Diceros bicornis minor: one gene and its partner. The protein of the gene in region 1 interacts with the protein of each later gene in a biochemical or structural test. Links are inferred from orthologs where the notes say so. Each region holds a gene or a part of one and is shown on either strand. Other genes may lie near its edges. The genes, in order: DGKZ and SNTB2.

Evidence for each region.
Region 2: the proteins of DGKZ (region 1) and SNTB2 form a complex in vitro, tested with the Homo sapiens proteins (2 studies listed by BioGRID and IntAct, with this or other methods). The link is inferred for Diceros bicornis minor from reciprocal best matches to the Homo sapiens genes DGKZ and SNTB2.

What each region holds. Positions count from the first base shown.
Region 1 is NC_080770.1:23,872,567-23,880,050, reverse strand, and holds the start of DGKZ (diacylglycerol kinase zeta), read left to right. Parts: upstream 1-4,351; 5' UTR 4,352-5,048; coding exon 5,049-5,959; intron 5,960-6,305; coding exon 6,306-6,414; intron 6,415-6,731; coding exon 6,732-6,827; intron 6,828-7,157; coding exon 7,158-7,235; intron 7,236-7,484. UniProt on the Homo sapiens protein: Diacylglycerol kinase that converts diacylglycerol/DAG into phosphatidic acid/phosphatidate/PA and regulates the respective levels of these two bioactive lipids.
Region 2 is NC_080771.1:20,699,936-20,707,802, reverse strand, and holds the start of SNTB2 (beta-2-syntrophin), read right to left. Parts: upstream 3,073-7,867; 5' UTR 3,039-3,072; coding exon 2,459-3,038; intron 1-2,458. UniProt on the Homo sapiens protein: Adapter protein that binds to and probably organizes the subcellular localization of a variety of membrane proteins. May link various receptors to the actin cytoskeleton and the dystrophin glycoprotein complex.

The DNA of each region.
Region 1 (7,484 bases):
GTCACTCAGCCTGGCTCTGGGAACTTTGGGGAGAGAATCCAGGAGGCAAGACTCTTTTGCACGAGTGTGTGCCCGCCCACCCACCCGCTGCCTGCGCTCGCTGCAGGGCCTGGAGCCACTGCTGGGAGAGGAAGTGCAGTCGGTTACCAATCGGGTTATTTTCATAACGGCTGTCTCAGGCTGGGGGGAGGAGGGTGGTGAGGGGGAGGGGGCAGAGGAGCAGCCACAGCCGCTCGCTCTCCAAACTAGGACTTGCTGAGCCAGAGGCCAGCAGCCTGGAGCTGGAGCCAGAGCCGGGGCTCGCCCGCCCACGGGGACCCCGGCCCCCACCCGCCTGCCCACCTCCTGCCTGCCACCCTGCCTTCCAGATCAGGTCAAAGGGGGCTCCCCGCAACCCTTCTTTGTCTTCTGCTTCCTGCCTCCTCTGTCTGTCCGGGTGGGTCTGGGGAGGGGTGGATCAGGGTGGGCCCAGGCACTGCCATCCCTAGATGAGGCTCCTGAAGCTGATGGAAGGGGACAGAGACAGGGAAGGTGGAGCTCCCGCCGCCCAGCCCGGGAGCCAGGCAGGCCCTATGGAGGTAAACACTACTGGCCTGCTCGACTTTACTGCGCAGCCCTGGCCCACCTGCTCCCCGCTGTGCATTTTTGTTTCATTTTGTTTTTTGGCAGGATCCCCTTGGTGAGTAGAGACCTTGGGGAGGCTGGGACCCTGCCTCGCCAGTCCCCGCCACCTTCCCTCCTACTTGGGGGCTGTGGGAGCAGAGCAGCCAGAGGTGGCTTCTGCCCAGCCGCCCCCTGGGGAGGCAGCTCCAGGCCCTTGCTGTGGGGCTGCTGGAAGAGGGGCCGCCGTGCACCATTCCCAGCCTGCACTCAGGAGATGGGCGTGTGGGGCTCTGCCCGCAGCGTGGAACTGGCGCTCGAGCGGAATCCCACAGGGTGTCCTGTGCGGGCACCTCTGGAGGCAGGGGAGTTCCTGGGGGCCGGGCCTGGGACCAGGGGCTGAGCAGACACCAGGTGGCTTGGCTGGCAGGCTCTGTTCCTCATGGGTGGGTGGTGGCCACCCTGGGTACTCCTGCTTCCCTTTCTGGGTTCCCACCCTGCCATGGGCAGAGACAAGCCCAGGAGGTGGCATGATCCACACGCCCTGGTGTCTGCTGTGGGTGTAGGCGCCTACTCTCTGCCGGGTGTCATATCCTCAGGTACGTTATCCCATCATCTCGTCAGAACATCCCTATGCCAGCCTTCTGAACTAGTGGTATCATCCCCCTTCTGCAGGTGAGAATACTGAGACTCGGAAAGGTTGGTTGATCAGCCCAGGAAAGCAGTGGCAGATGCAGGGTTCCAAAGCCTTTGGGCTTTTCCACTTGCAGCTATCATAGGGGGTGAGATGGTCTGGGCTAGGAGGCAACGTGTCCCGTCCTTTCTCGCTGGGGCACGCATACCTGCTGACCCCCACTGTCAGGTGCCTTAGCTCGGCTGCCCGCAGCCCTGCTTGCTGCCGCTCCTCGAGACAACGTGGCCAGACACCACTGTGCATGTCTCTCCTGGACCATCTTTTGTCCTCCCCAGCCCCCAACAGCCAGCTGGAGGTTGATGGGGCCCCTGAGTGCTTTCCCATCCTGTCCCCTTTGGGTGTGACAGGCTTCCCCCAGGCCTCCCACCGGGAGGCTGAGGGATAGCCGTTTTGCTCTGCTCTTGGTGTCAGAACCCTGTGGGGCCTCCTCCAGTGACCTTTACACATACTGTGTGGTGTGTTGAAAGTGACAGAGCGGGAGGTGAGAAGAAGCTGCTGCTCTGAGCGGTGCTGTGGGAAAAGGCTCCAGGCCCAGGCAGAGGAAAGGCTGGGACAGGCCGGAAGCTAGGCTGGGCTTCCGACCAGACCCAGGAGAAGCCTCAGCAGAGATAGGAAGTCAGGAGTCAGGCAATTGCTGACCAGAGGACACAGGTTTCTATGGAGACCAGAGGAACAGGAAGCATGGGGCCTGGGTGAAGGGACATGGGGAGCGTAGAGGCGTGGGTGCCTGGCAGGAGAGCTTGTCATAAAATGTCAAATCCGCCAGTCTGACAGCCTCCTTGAGCAAATAAGGAAACTGAGGCCTGTGAGGGGACAGCTTGGCACATGGGCACACAAAACTGGCCTAGCCTGCCTTGCTCCCTACTTGAGTGACTGCACCATAGGGCAGCCAAGGAGACTCCAGGATAGACGTGGATTTGGGGCTGCCCGGCAGGGTGTGGGCCAGAGCGCTGTGGAGCACCTGTAAGCTGCCCCTGGGTCGTGAGGCAGGTGTGCAGGTGACCTCTTCCTCCTGGCACCTCTCGTCAGTGTGGGTTCAGGGCAGTAGGCAGGGCCCAACCCTCAGCACCTCCCCCACTGACTGTGGCCTTTTGTTTTCTGGGTGACACTAGCATCAGGCGCTGTGTCCGGCTGACTAATCTCCTCCAGTCTGGGCAGCTGTCACAGGGCAGCCTGACGAGACGGGTGGGGAAAGCTGACACCCCGGGGGAGTGCTGGCAGGCTGGTGCCCTGGCAGCAGTGGGCAGCTGGGCCTTCAGGCTCCTCTTCCTGGGTACAGGGCAGACCTGGGTTCAGGTCCAGGCTCTGGCACTGACCAGCCGGGTGACCTTGAATATGTCTAGCACCTCTTCAAGCCTCAGTTCCCTCATCTCTATAATGGAGCCATTGGTCCGTCCTGCCTACAGGGTTGTGGTGGGAATGAAACGAGATGATGAATGGAAGTGCTTAGCCCAGGGCCTGCCCCACAGTAGATGTTCAGTAAATGGGACCATTGTTGTTCTTGCTATGGTTCCCTTCCCTACCGCATCCCACTTTAGTCCCAGCCTTGTGGCCCAAAAGGGAAGACCCTACTCTCCTCCGCATCTCTGGGGTGCAGGCTTTGCCTTCGGGTAGACTTGGGTTCCAGCCTAAGCTCTACACTGACTAGCTGTGGACTGTGGACAAGTTACCTCTTTGTGCCTGTTTCCCATCAGGAATGCCGCATGACACAGTACCTGTTCTTTGGGTTTGCTATGGTTTATGAAACGATGTACATGTTTGTAAGGGGCTCAGCACCGGGCCTGACACATGCGAGCTCTCAGTAAATGTGAGCCGTGATGATGCTGATTTTGGGAGGACGCCAAGAGCTCTCTGCCCACAGAGCTCGCCTCCTGCCCTCTCCCTGTCACCTGCAGGGGAGGAGGACTGTAACAGGCAGGGCCCAGGAGCCGGGCAGTCTCAGGCACTGCCTCCCCAGGCACAGCTGCCTCCACTGCTCCCTGATCACAGGAGCTCAGACACCTTGGCACCCATCCACCTCCCCCTGGGGACCCCTGCACCCATCCAGGGCTGCGGCCTGATGCTGCCTGCCCAGACCCACCCAGTCAAAGAGTGTGGTGGGTGGGTGGGAGGAGTAGGCACCAGACATGTGGCCGAGGCCTGACTCTTCAAGTCCGTCATCTCCCACCGTTTGTCCAGGGCTCCCACCCACCACGCCTGACTCTGCCAGGCCCTCAGCAGGCAGAAGTTATTTCTCCTGTCAGCCCCAGGCGGATGTCCCACGGCCGTGATGGACCCTCCTGTGGCTGCCAGGGCCCAGGAGAGCACCTGATGGCAGGACACAGGCGTCCCTGGGCTCTCTGGGGGCATCGCCCCCTGAAGCATACCTGGTTTCCTGCCCTTCCCCCAGCGTTAGGGAGAGGTGAGGGCGCAGGTGGTCCCAGCGGCTTGTGACAAAGGGGCGGCAGGAGTAGGTGAGCGGGCGAAGAAGGCAGAGCGTGTGTTCAGAACAGGTCAGAGGATGGCTGGAGCAAGGACGGTCACCAAAGGTCCTACCTCCCTGCAGGAGGGAGCTCCAGGCAGCTCAGTGTTTGGGATTTTGAGAGTTGGAGCTTCTGCCTTGGCCCCAGGACAAGGTGCCGTTCACCGGCTCCCGCAATGGCAGAGCTGGGTGGGTTTTCACACGTTACCCGTCATCACACGTGGGGCATCCATACTCTGCCTCTTCAGAAGGGTGAGACAGAGCAGTCTGGTTCCAGAAAAGTCCTTACTGTCAGCTCCTCAGAGATACAGACACGCACTCACACCCAGAATGCAGAAGGCTGTTCTCTTAGCTCAGGCCTCTTGCTGCTTCCCATAGGAAGTTCCCGTGGGTGAAGGCGGCAGTGGCTTCTCTCCTGTGCAGCTGGCTCTCCAGTTCTCTGAGGGCCTCATCTCCCCTGGGTCCTTTTTTTTTTTTTTTTTTTGTGAGGAAGATCAGCCCTGAGCTAACATCCACACCAATTCTCCTCTTTTTGCTGAGGAAGACCGGCCCTGAGCTAACATCTATTGCCAATCCTCCTCCTTTTTTTTTTTTTCCCTTTTCCTTCCCAAAGCCCCAGTAGATAGTTGTATGTCATAGTTACACATCCTTCTAGTTGCTGTATGTGGGACGCGGCCTCAGCATGGCCGGACAAGCAGTGCGTCGGTGCGCGCCCGGGATCTGAACCCGGGCCACCAGTAGCAGAGTGCTGCACTTAACCAGGCCAGCCCCCTCCCCTGGGTCCTTTGATCCCTGAGTCAGATGTCAGACCCTCTCCATTTCCGCGTGCGACCCTCAGCCTGACCCAAGACTGGGGCCAAGAGAGTCTGGGGGTCTTATCAGGACTGAGTTTCTTTTCAGAGAGGCTTGTGTATGCCTTGGTTTGTGCCATGTCCCAGGAACAGACACCTAAACCTAACCTGCCCCATGTTGGTGGCAAAACAAAATCCCAACGAGGGGGAAAGCCTTGCTCTCGCCCTCAGTCTAACTAGTCCAACTCCAAACTGGAACCCAGGCCTCCTCCCGAATTCCAGCTTCCTTTTTCTTTTCTTTTCCGTCAGCTTCAGGCAGGGGAGCCAAAGTCCTTTAGAGGCCAGGGCTTTGTGGATCATGGTGTCTGGATAGGGGAAGCCCCCTCCTACCCCTTACTCCTGGCGCAGCCTGACGGTGTAACCAAGGAGAGCGCCGGTGCTTCCCAAAGCGGGAAATCTGTGCTCCCCTGAGGATTCTCTTGTACCCTCAAACACCCCATTGATGGGGGTCAGAGGCCGTTGTCCCCCACCCTCCCAAGTGTCCCCTCTCTGCTCAAAGGGCAGAGGCTGTGACCGGGCTCCTGGGCACAGGATGGGCCGTGACCTGGCCCAGCTCCTGATGCTCCCGGTCTCTGTGCCCAACAGCCACCCGCCTGCCCCTGCCATGGAGACCTTCTTTAGGAGACACTTCCAGAGGAAGGCGCCAGGCCCTGGAGAGGGGCAGCGGCGGCCCAGCGGCGTGGGGCTGCCCACGGGCAAGGCCCGGCGCCGCTCCCCTGCCGGGCAGGCCTCCTCCTCGCTGGCACAGCGGCGCCGCTCCAGCGCACAGCTCCAGGGCTGCCTCCTGGGCTGCGGGATGGGGTCCCGGGGCACCAGGCGCCGGCGCTCCAGCACCACACCCCCCGCCTGCAACCCCCGCTTCATCGTGGATGAGGTGCCCACCCCACAGCCTGCCACTGTCAGGGCCCAGCTTCTGGGCACACCTCTGCTGTTGGCCAGGCTCATGGGCATGAATGAGGAGGAGGAGGAGGGGGAGAGTGTCCAGGAGGAGGATGTGACAGTTGCAGCGTTGAGTGTGGCCCAGCCAGGCACCGAGAGACCAGGGCCACCCGCACACCAGGGCGCCCATCCCCTGCTGCCCGTGCCCCGCTGCCTGCGCCGGCGCCGTGCCTCCTCCCACCTGCTCCCTGCTGACATGGTGTACGACTCTGCCCTCTGGGGCCTGCACGGTTACTACCGGCGCCTCAGCCAGCAGCGGCCTTTGGGCCAGCACCCTGGCCCTGGGGGCCGAAGAGCCTCAGGCACCCCAGCCAGCCCCGCGATGCCCGCCCGTGTGCGCCCGCTTTCCCGCAGGCGCCAGGTAGCCCTACGGCGCAAGTCAGCCGGACCCCAGGCCTGGAGCACTCTGCTTGCGTAGGTATAGCTGTGGCTGGCAGGGCGAGTGGTGCAGCCTCCAAGGGGGCTGCCGCGGAGCAAGGACCTTGAGGCTCTGCCTGGCCTGAGGGCACCCTGCTTTGCAATAGCTCCGGGCAGTGCCCAGCAGCCAGCGCGCCCCAGAAGGGCCGTGAGGAGGGCAGAGTCTCCTAGAGGGGTCCTCTCAGAGCCTTGGGCTGCCGTGGGGGGTCCTCTACCGTCCCTACTGCTGTCCCTGCCTTGGCCTTGGAGTGAGGTCACAGTGAGGGCAGAGATCCCAGGTGAGGGGGGAAGGAAGCAGAGTTACCAAGTGCTCAGCTGGCCTCAGCTGTCTCCTTTTCTGTAGGAAAGCCATCACCAAGTCGGGCCTTCAGCACCTGGCACCCCCTCCTCCCACTCCCGGGGCCCCGTGCAGCGAGCCAGAGCGGCAGATCCGGAGCACTGTGGACTGGAGCGTGAGTGGCTGGGTACCGACAGGGGCAGAAGGGTACCAACCCCCACAGGGCTCTGGGAGCAGTCGGGGGTGGAGGTACTGTGGGCAGCTGCGAGAGGAGTGCGTGGGCCTGTGGGATGGGGGCAAACCTCCTGGGGTGGCCACATTTGAGCCAAGCCTTAAAGAGTAGGGACAGTGGGGAAAACGGGGTGGTGCAAAGTAAATTGTGGCATCTGGAGCAGGTTTGTCTTGGGAGAGAGAGGGTTGATGGGGCAGGGCAGGGGTGACTGGTGAGCTGGGCGGCAAGCGTGCACTGAGCATGTTTGTCCCATGGTCTAGGAGTCAGCGACATATGGGGAGCACATCTGGTTCGAGACCAACGTGTCGGGGGACTTCTGCTATGTTGGGGAGCAGTACTGTGTAGCTAAGATGCTGGTGAGTGCACTGTGTGCGGCACGCTGCCCCCTGGTGGTGGAGCAGGGTCTAGATGCCTCTAGGCCAACCCCTGCTGGCTGGACACCTGCAGTCCTTCCAGGGGAAGGTGAGAACAAGGCTCTCACCTGAGCACCCCTGCTGTGGGCTGCCTGAGGATGGCGAGAGGAATGGGAGCTGTGTGCCAACTCCAGGAGCCAAGAGTGGGGGTTCCTGGGGCACACGGAGGGCTGCTGTGCTGGGGCAGATGTGAGGATTCCTTGGCCTGCCCTGGAGTAGCATCCTGGACGGAGCCACCTGGTGCCTCAAGGGCCCCCTTGCTCTTTGCTGCAGCAGAAGTCGGTGTCCCGGAGAAAGTGTGCAGCTTGCAAGATCGTGGTGCACACCCCCTGCATTGCACAGCTGGAGAAGGTGAGTGTGGTTGCTTGGCCTTTCCCGCCCCGCCCCTCCGGCTGCTGAAGCCCTCTCAGCACACACGTGTGCCTGCACACGCGTATTCACGTTCCACAAACATCACCTGCTAGGGGTGCCACAGCATGCGTGGTGGTGAAGAGCCAGGGACCTTGGAGCCAAAATGCCTACGTTGCATCCTGGCTCCCCGTTTATTAGCTGATGTATCCTCACTGCCTGGAACAAGCCTGGCACAGAGCGCAGCTCATT
Region 2 (7,867 bases), on another chromosome or scaffold:
GAGATACCAGCTCTCGATTTTAAATAATGTTTGACTGGTTCTATGAAATCACTGTTTTCAATGATTCTGCATATTTTAAGTAATTTTATTTTTATATCCCTTGGCTTAAAAGTGCAATTTCATACTTCGCCACACATGTAAGGACAAAAACTGCTTGTCTCTTACAAAATGGGAAAATAAAGTAGAAGCTGTGTTAGGTAAAAAGGCATTCAATAAATATGTTATTATGCTGCCATTTGTAAACTCCTTCTAAAGGCACATGTGGCCTATTTTAGACTAATGAATACTGGGAAGCATTTGATAGATGATTTTCATTTACTTGGTATGAATACCATGTTCAAATTATATCTAAACAAAAACTGGTTTTAAAAAAAATATGGTGTAAAGAGTTGAAATGTCTGACCATCACCACTGAGTACTACACAAATAGTACTACATTCAATATTCCGACTCTAGGAATTTATAACCAAATGCTTAGCTAGACCAATTTCAAGGTACATGTTTTTGTTTTTTTGTGTGTGTGTGTGTGAGGAAGATCAGCCCTGAGCTAACATCCATGCTAATCCTCCTCTTTTTGCTAAGGAAGACCAGCCCTGAGCTAACATCTATTGCCAATCCTCCTCCTTTTTTTTTTTTTGCCCCAAAGCCCCAGTAGATAGTTGTATGTCATAGTTGTACATCCTTCTAGTTGCTGTATGTGCGGCGCGGCCTCAGCACGGCGGGAGAAGCAGTGCGTCAGTGCGTGCCCGGGATCCAAACCCCTGGCCGCCAGCAGCGGAGCGCGTGCACTTAACTGGAGCGCGTGCACTTAACCGGAGCGCGTGCACTTAACCCCTAAGCCACGGGGCCCGCCCCTCAAGGTACACGTTTACGGTAACAATTTTTTTACACATGCACCACCCAAGCCACAATCTATAATTTTACTTTTATTAACACTAATTTCTGAGCAGTGTCTAGCCCAACCTATAAGTGAGATATAAATAAGATTTATAAATAGAATACTATAAAGGTGGGACACTGGAATTTCACAATTGGAGCACATTAAATCACTTACTTGCAAACTAATATTTTTCCAAATATTTACAAGCAGATTTGGAAAAAAGTGAAAATCACTTTGCCAAGCTGGACTTCTGGCCTCTCAGTTTGATAACTGGTTCCTTCCTACCCCTACTCCCCACCCCTTCCCTTCTGTTCTTCCTCTGCTAGGAATACTCTCCTGACTCATCTCTGTCTGTCTATGTCCATCACTTCCTTGGAGACCTGGCTCAAGATTCAGCTCCTTGAAAAAGTCCTCCCTGACTAATCCTGATTTCCACTAACTACATCCTAACTTTGCATTCCCTTGGCATTTATATACAGTTTACACTATATAATCAATAACTTGTAAGACATTTTGCATTTTTCTATCATTTCTCCAACTAGAGACACATCACCTTTTATATTCTCTTCTATACAGCCAGCAATAAATGCTTCTTGAGCGACTGAATCAACAGCAAAAGAAAGCCGATGGCTCAAAAATTTCTGAAGCAAGCAACTGGCTTTTCAGATCACACTTACAATACTTTATCACCTCCAACATGCATAAGTCCTTCAACGAGATGAGATTTAATTTTGTCTTAGTTCCATAAATTCATCATAAAAGATCCAGGTTATAGATCACATATATACTTAAGGTAAACAATCCTGGATATTCAAATATATCTTGAGATTTAACATTTCAAGCTTCTAAAAAGCTTAAAGCCTTGAAGCAGCAGGCCTGTGAATGGTAGGAAGTTGGCACTAGCCTCTTGCAAAAGAGGCAAAACTCTAGTTGGCAGTAAATGTTCAAACACGTGAGCCTCCACTGTTAAACAAGGCTCATTAACCACACAAACTTGCTGTTTCAGCTTTCTGGCTTCAATGAAGTGCTATGATCTCCTTTGGTTATTGTTGAGAGCCAATGATGGGTTAAATTCCCACACATTAACCAGCGTTTTGGTGGTTTGCCCAAGAATACCTCTGGCATCGGTGGGGCTGATTTTTCTTTTTTTTTTAACAGAGCTGCCCGCCCCGGGGAGCCAGAGGTGAGTGATGAAAATGCCGACCCGGCATTTCTCAGGAGGCAAACGGAGACCTCCAGAACTCGAGCCGTTCGGTCTCCCTCTAGTTCTTAGTGTCAGCTTATCGTGCAGAGGCGGGCTTCAGGCGCGCCTGCTTTTTACTAAATCGCAACCGAGTCTTCCTTAGGGACTGCAAGCCACACTTCGGCGGCTGCCCAACTTTTCCCGCAGGGAGCATCAGTTTTTCCATCCTCAAAGCCCCTGCACATCGGGTCTGGGGAGAGCCGGGCCACCAGCAGAGGGGAAGGCGAGGACTCGGAAAGGGGGAGCGGGCTCGCTCCCCAAAAGGGGCAGACACAAAGTGAGCAACGGCCAGCCCTGCGCCGCCCGCCCGCAGGCCGCCCGCCGGCCCCGCTCACCCTCCAGCAGCACCTCCTTGCCCGCGCGCTTCAGCGCCTGCACGGCCTGGTCGTGGGTGGCCTGGCGCAGGTCGGTGCCGTTCACCGACAGGATGGCGTCACCCAGCCGCAGCGCTCGGCTCTGGTCGGCCGCCAGCCCCGGGAAGATCTTGGAGATGAGGATCGGCATCCGGTTCTCGCGGCCGCCCTTGATGCTGATGCCCAGGCCGCCCGCCTCCTGCTTCACCACCCGCACCCGGCGCACAGGAGGGGACGCGCCTGCCTCGCCCGCCGGGCCTCGGGGCGGCGCGGGCGGGCTCGGGGGACCCAGGCCGCGGCTCGGGCTCCCGGGCAGCGAGTCTCCGGCGCCGCCGCCGTTCGGGAGGCCGTTGAAGGCGGCCGCCGCCGGCCCCAAAGTGGGCTCGGGCTCAGCCGCCGCGGCGTCGCCCGTCAGGCTTAGGCTCTCCCCGCTCAGCTCGGCCACCACCCGGACCCAGCGCTCCCTCAGGAGCAGCTCCACCAGCCCCGCTTTCGTGGCCCGCGTCCACACCGCCATGGCCGGCCCCGCTCCCGCCGCCGCAGTCGTCGTAGCTACCCTCATTCCAGTCAGGCAGCCTAGGCGCTTCCCTCTTCCCGCTCGAGGGGGCGGGCCGGCCCCCTCCCCCCGGCGGTGATTCATTATTCATGAGCCACGCCCACCTCCGGAGGGGAGGGGCGAGGCCGGCCGAGCCGCTTCCGGGAGCTTAAGTAGCTGCCCGCAGTCCAGTCCCTTGCGGCTCACCGGACGTGGGCAGCCCGAGCGCAGTGATGCTTAGTCTCGCGTTCTCCTTCCTTTCGCCTCCAACAACCACCCCCCCGCCCCCGCAAACTCCTGACCTCTACCGTGCAATTCACCGGAGCTGCCTGGGCACGGAAGGCAACATCAGCTTCAAGAAGCACTTTGCAAGCCTGCAAGACTGGGTTGCACGTTCACTCTTGCATTGATTGGTTCATTCCGTCTTTATTGAGTGCTTCGCCGTGTGCTCCTTTTGAGGCCTGGAGATGAGCTGAATAAAACGTACCACAGCTGAGAGCTGGCGGTCTAGTGGGGGAGGAAAACGGAGAACCAATCAACCTAGTGTGATACTATGTGGTTAAGTGACATCTAGACAACGCTCTGAGAGCAGAGTAGAAGAAACATTTGGTTGGGCCCGAGGTCAGCTGCACAGAGGTGACAATGGAAGGTGAATAGGTGGAGCAGAGGGAACTGCATAAGCAAAGGTCCAGAGGCATGAATCAAAGCATTTGTCACTCTGCTTTGTAATCACCTGTTTTCCTACCTGCAATGTGTGAGGGCACCATGTCTTCTTCAGCCCTGCAGCCACAATAGGTTGGCCGCAAAGATATTTGCAGAATGATGATTACTTAGGAAGATGCCAGAATTCCAACGTGAACAGAGCATCGGGTCCCTGGAGATGGCAGGATATGAGTGTGAAAAGCCTCATATAATCAAATGTTGGAGTGTTTGGACTTGAATTTGTAGATCTGACTTTCTTACTCTGGAGGCCACGGCCCTTTGTTGGGGTAAGTGTAGATGAGCATCCCCAGAAACTGTATGCACACTGCAGAGCCTGCAGTGGCTTTTATCCTAAGACATGGGTGATGCAATCCACCCACTTCTTCCAGCTTCCTGGGCTGGAAGAGCAGAGGAAACTGAGGCCTGGAGAGCCCAAGACTCGAGCTCCAAGCCCACAGTGAGGCAGCAGAGACAACTGTCTGGTCTCCCACCTCCTGGTCCACTGCTTTTCTTGACTACATTCCTCAGACCTCAAAAATGAGGGTCCAGAAATCACACTGCTGAGAGAGATCTTAGCAAAAACATGAGTTCAAGGTGCCGTCTAACTTTCCTTCAGCAATAAAATCGAAATCCTCACGTTTTCATTTGGTGCAAGCAGAAGGAATGTGCACCAATTTCTGTAAAAGGGGCTGCATACCTGCTTGCTCATGAAGTACATGTTGAAGCTCGTAAGCCATGTCCACGCACCACTCTATGAATGCACATGCATGTATGGGCAGAAACTTCCAAACAGCCTCCTATACCAGGAGTTAAAACCATAAAAATAGAGACTGGAAAGCAACCAGAGCCCAAATGAAGGAAGAATTCAAAATAAGAAAAGTATCTTACCAAAAAAATCATTACAGCAGAATCTTCTTTGCAATTAATGGAGCAGGATTTTCCGAGCTGCAAATGTCAGCAGCTCAACCCTCTAGCCCTCTCCTAAATCAATTGCAGTGAGGCCAGCTAGCTGTTTTGGCAGGTCCCAATGTGCCCCAGCGCACCTGCAGTCACAGACACTTCTGGCTTTTCTCCAGCTGAGGCATGAGCCCCCAGAGGCCTGAGTTATGTGAAATTTCTGCTTATTAGAGAGCACTTGGCAGCTGATCCCTTAGAGTATGAGCACTATTTTCAACACTTTTATATACATATTCACAAAGGGTTGGGCACTTGAGGACACCTTTATTAGCAAAAGGGAAGCTGGAAACTCCTTCCAAGAGTATGAAGACCTTTTGGTCAAGAGAGTTGGAGGAAGTCATAGATCTTCCAACTAAATGGTAAGTGAGGGTGCTTATATATAAGATAGTAAGTTATATAACATAATATTTAAACCTGGGAGGAGAGAAAGTAATGGAGATTGATATTTGGATTACTTGCGGGTTTCTACGTAAAAAATTATTTTTAAATATATCCATAAAACATTCCCAAATTATTGAGCTGCTTTTACAAGGTCCTCCATCAGAACCTAAATTAATTTTCAACATTCTCTTTCATCACTACTTTCTGATCGGCCAAACTCATCCAGTCAGTGTCTCTCAATGACGCCTTGCACATTCCTGAGTCCTTCCTTCCAAACACCTCCTGCCGCTTTCTACCACTTTCCCACCTAGCAAGATCTCAGCCCAGTTTTCCCCAACGACCCAATTTTTCCTTTGAACAATTTTCTTCTACGCTTGGCTGTTTTGCCCCAGTAGATTATAAAATACAGGAAGGCAGGGACCACCCATCGACTTCTTTTTATTCCCCACTATTCCAAAAATACTGCCTTGCAGAAAAGGAACTCATTAAACATGTGATTGATTGAAATTCAGTGCCTCCTGTGCTGTAGTCGTTTCAAATAATCCTTCTGAAGGTTACTGGTTCCTTGCAGAGTGAAAATTACCATCTAGGAAATCTCAAGTAGTCAGTGGAAATCTACTTACTGTGGATAATGAAATCTGAAATAAAAAGAGTACACATCTGTGTCCACGGTTTCTTAGGGACAGCAAGACAAGCTTAGATAATTCTTTGAACAGGCATGTTATTTTATCTACCTTTAAAAAAGGAAATGGCTGAGATAATTCCTCATAACCCTTCATTCCTGTCACCTATCAATACGTATTCTCCTGTGCTCAAGCTGTTATCTTACGATTTCTCAGAACAAGGCAGGGATCACTGCTACTTTAAAATGAGGGGGTTGGATTAGCTCTCTCAGTTCCATAATTTCCTACAATTCTATGACTCAGGCTCTGATTCTATGCTCTCTCAAAAACCAGTGGTCTTTTCTTTTTCTTCTCCCTCACAGTGGATGTACAATATAGCACAGTAATTAAGAGCACAAGGTTCAAATTGTAGTTTGGCCACTTACTAGGTATATACGATAACGGTCAAAAGGTTGAGGTCACAGGCCTGTTTCTTCTTCAGAAAAATTCAGCTACCTTCTACCTCTAAGGGCAGTTGCGAGGGTTGACTGGGATGACATATGCAAAGCGTTTAGCAGCACTGTACCTGTACAGGGTAAGAGGTCCATAAAAAGTACCTGCTGCTGGTATATTACCTGTTGACCTTCAGCAGCAGCAACAATAAAACCTTTGGTAGAAACTCTGCAGCTGAGAGTCTAGACTTTATCTAGGAATGAGTCTGCCATAGTATCATATGATTCCAGGCTTAAATGGCAAATGGCCAAATTAATTTCGGTGACAAACAGATCTTGTATAAAGCTACACTTCAGCTGAAAGGGAGAACATATTGCCAAGAGTCCGTCAAAGCAAAGAATTAGTGGATCTGGGGCTGGTTCCAAGGTTTGAGTGTTGTGTACACAATTTCATAAGGAAGGAGGGCCCCAGGCAAAATTGCAGCCCTTAGCAAGCCTGAAGGTCACTACCACAGAGGCGGCCTGACGCCAGAGGAACAAAAGCAAGAACTGCTCAATTACTACTAAAGAAGAGGCCAAAGGGAGAAAGAAGCTTGTAAGATAACCAATCCAACACCTAACTTTGCAAAATTATCCACACACAACTCTTCCTCAGTTAGAAGACAGTGAGATCAATTGTCCCTTTCAACAGACAGTACTCCTTTGCCTTCCGGGAGAAATAACCTAAAAGGTATTTTTCTCTCCCGCACAAACATGAAGTGAAAGAGGGAAAGGTGCATATATCCTTTAGCTGATGTAAGCACATTTAAAAATTCATCCTGCCAAGATAAATCATCATCCATCTGAAAACCACAAAAATGGATTAACTATCTCATACGTTATGACTATGAAAACCCACATCTGCTAACCACATTCCTAATGAGAAGCAGCTGGTGACAGTTTTGTAGCTCTGTGACTTTCTTTTTAGGAAAATATTAGCAAGGACATAATAAGCAGAAGGTTAGTTTCATTGAATCCACTTAGTTATGGAAAATCACCAGTGTTTTTTATTGACAATCATGGACATTACATAATTTGCCACGAAATTCAAGTAAGGTCCAAAAATAAAAATCCCCTTTCCCCCAATACCAGTTCTAACAGAATTTCCAGTGCCTCAGAATTAAGACTTACAGTCCTAATAGTCAGCTTCAACTCTCATTTTTCATATACCATTGAACACCAAATCATGTCTATCGATGCAGATGGTATTTCTAGGCCTTTGTCCCACAGCTTTAACTGCCTCCCAAGTCAGTTAATGCAACAGCCAGTTGTGGGGTGTGGGGATCACGGACCCCTTTAGGAGTCAGTTGCATGTTGTGGACACACCTTAGACAAATGCACACCTGTGCAAAATTCAGCATTCACACTTGGGGGCTCACAAAGCCCCTGAAGCCCTTCTATGGACTCTGTCATGGGCTGAATCGTGTCCCCTCAAAATTTATAGGTTGAAGTCCTAATCCCCAGTACTTCAGAATGTGATTATATTTGGAGACAGGGTCTTGTTTTTTTTGAGGAAGATCAGCTCTAAGCTAACATCCATGCCAATCCTCCTCTTTTTGCTGAGGCAGACCGGCCCTGAGCTAACATCTATTGCCAATCCTCCTCCTTTTTTTCCCTTTTACTCCCCAAAGCCCCAGTAGACGGTTGTATGTCATAGATGCACATCTTTCTAGTTGCTGTATGTGGGACGCTGCCTCAGCATGGCCGGACAAGCAGTGCGTCG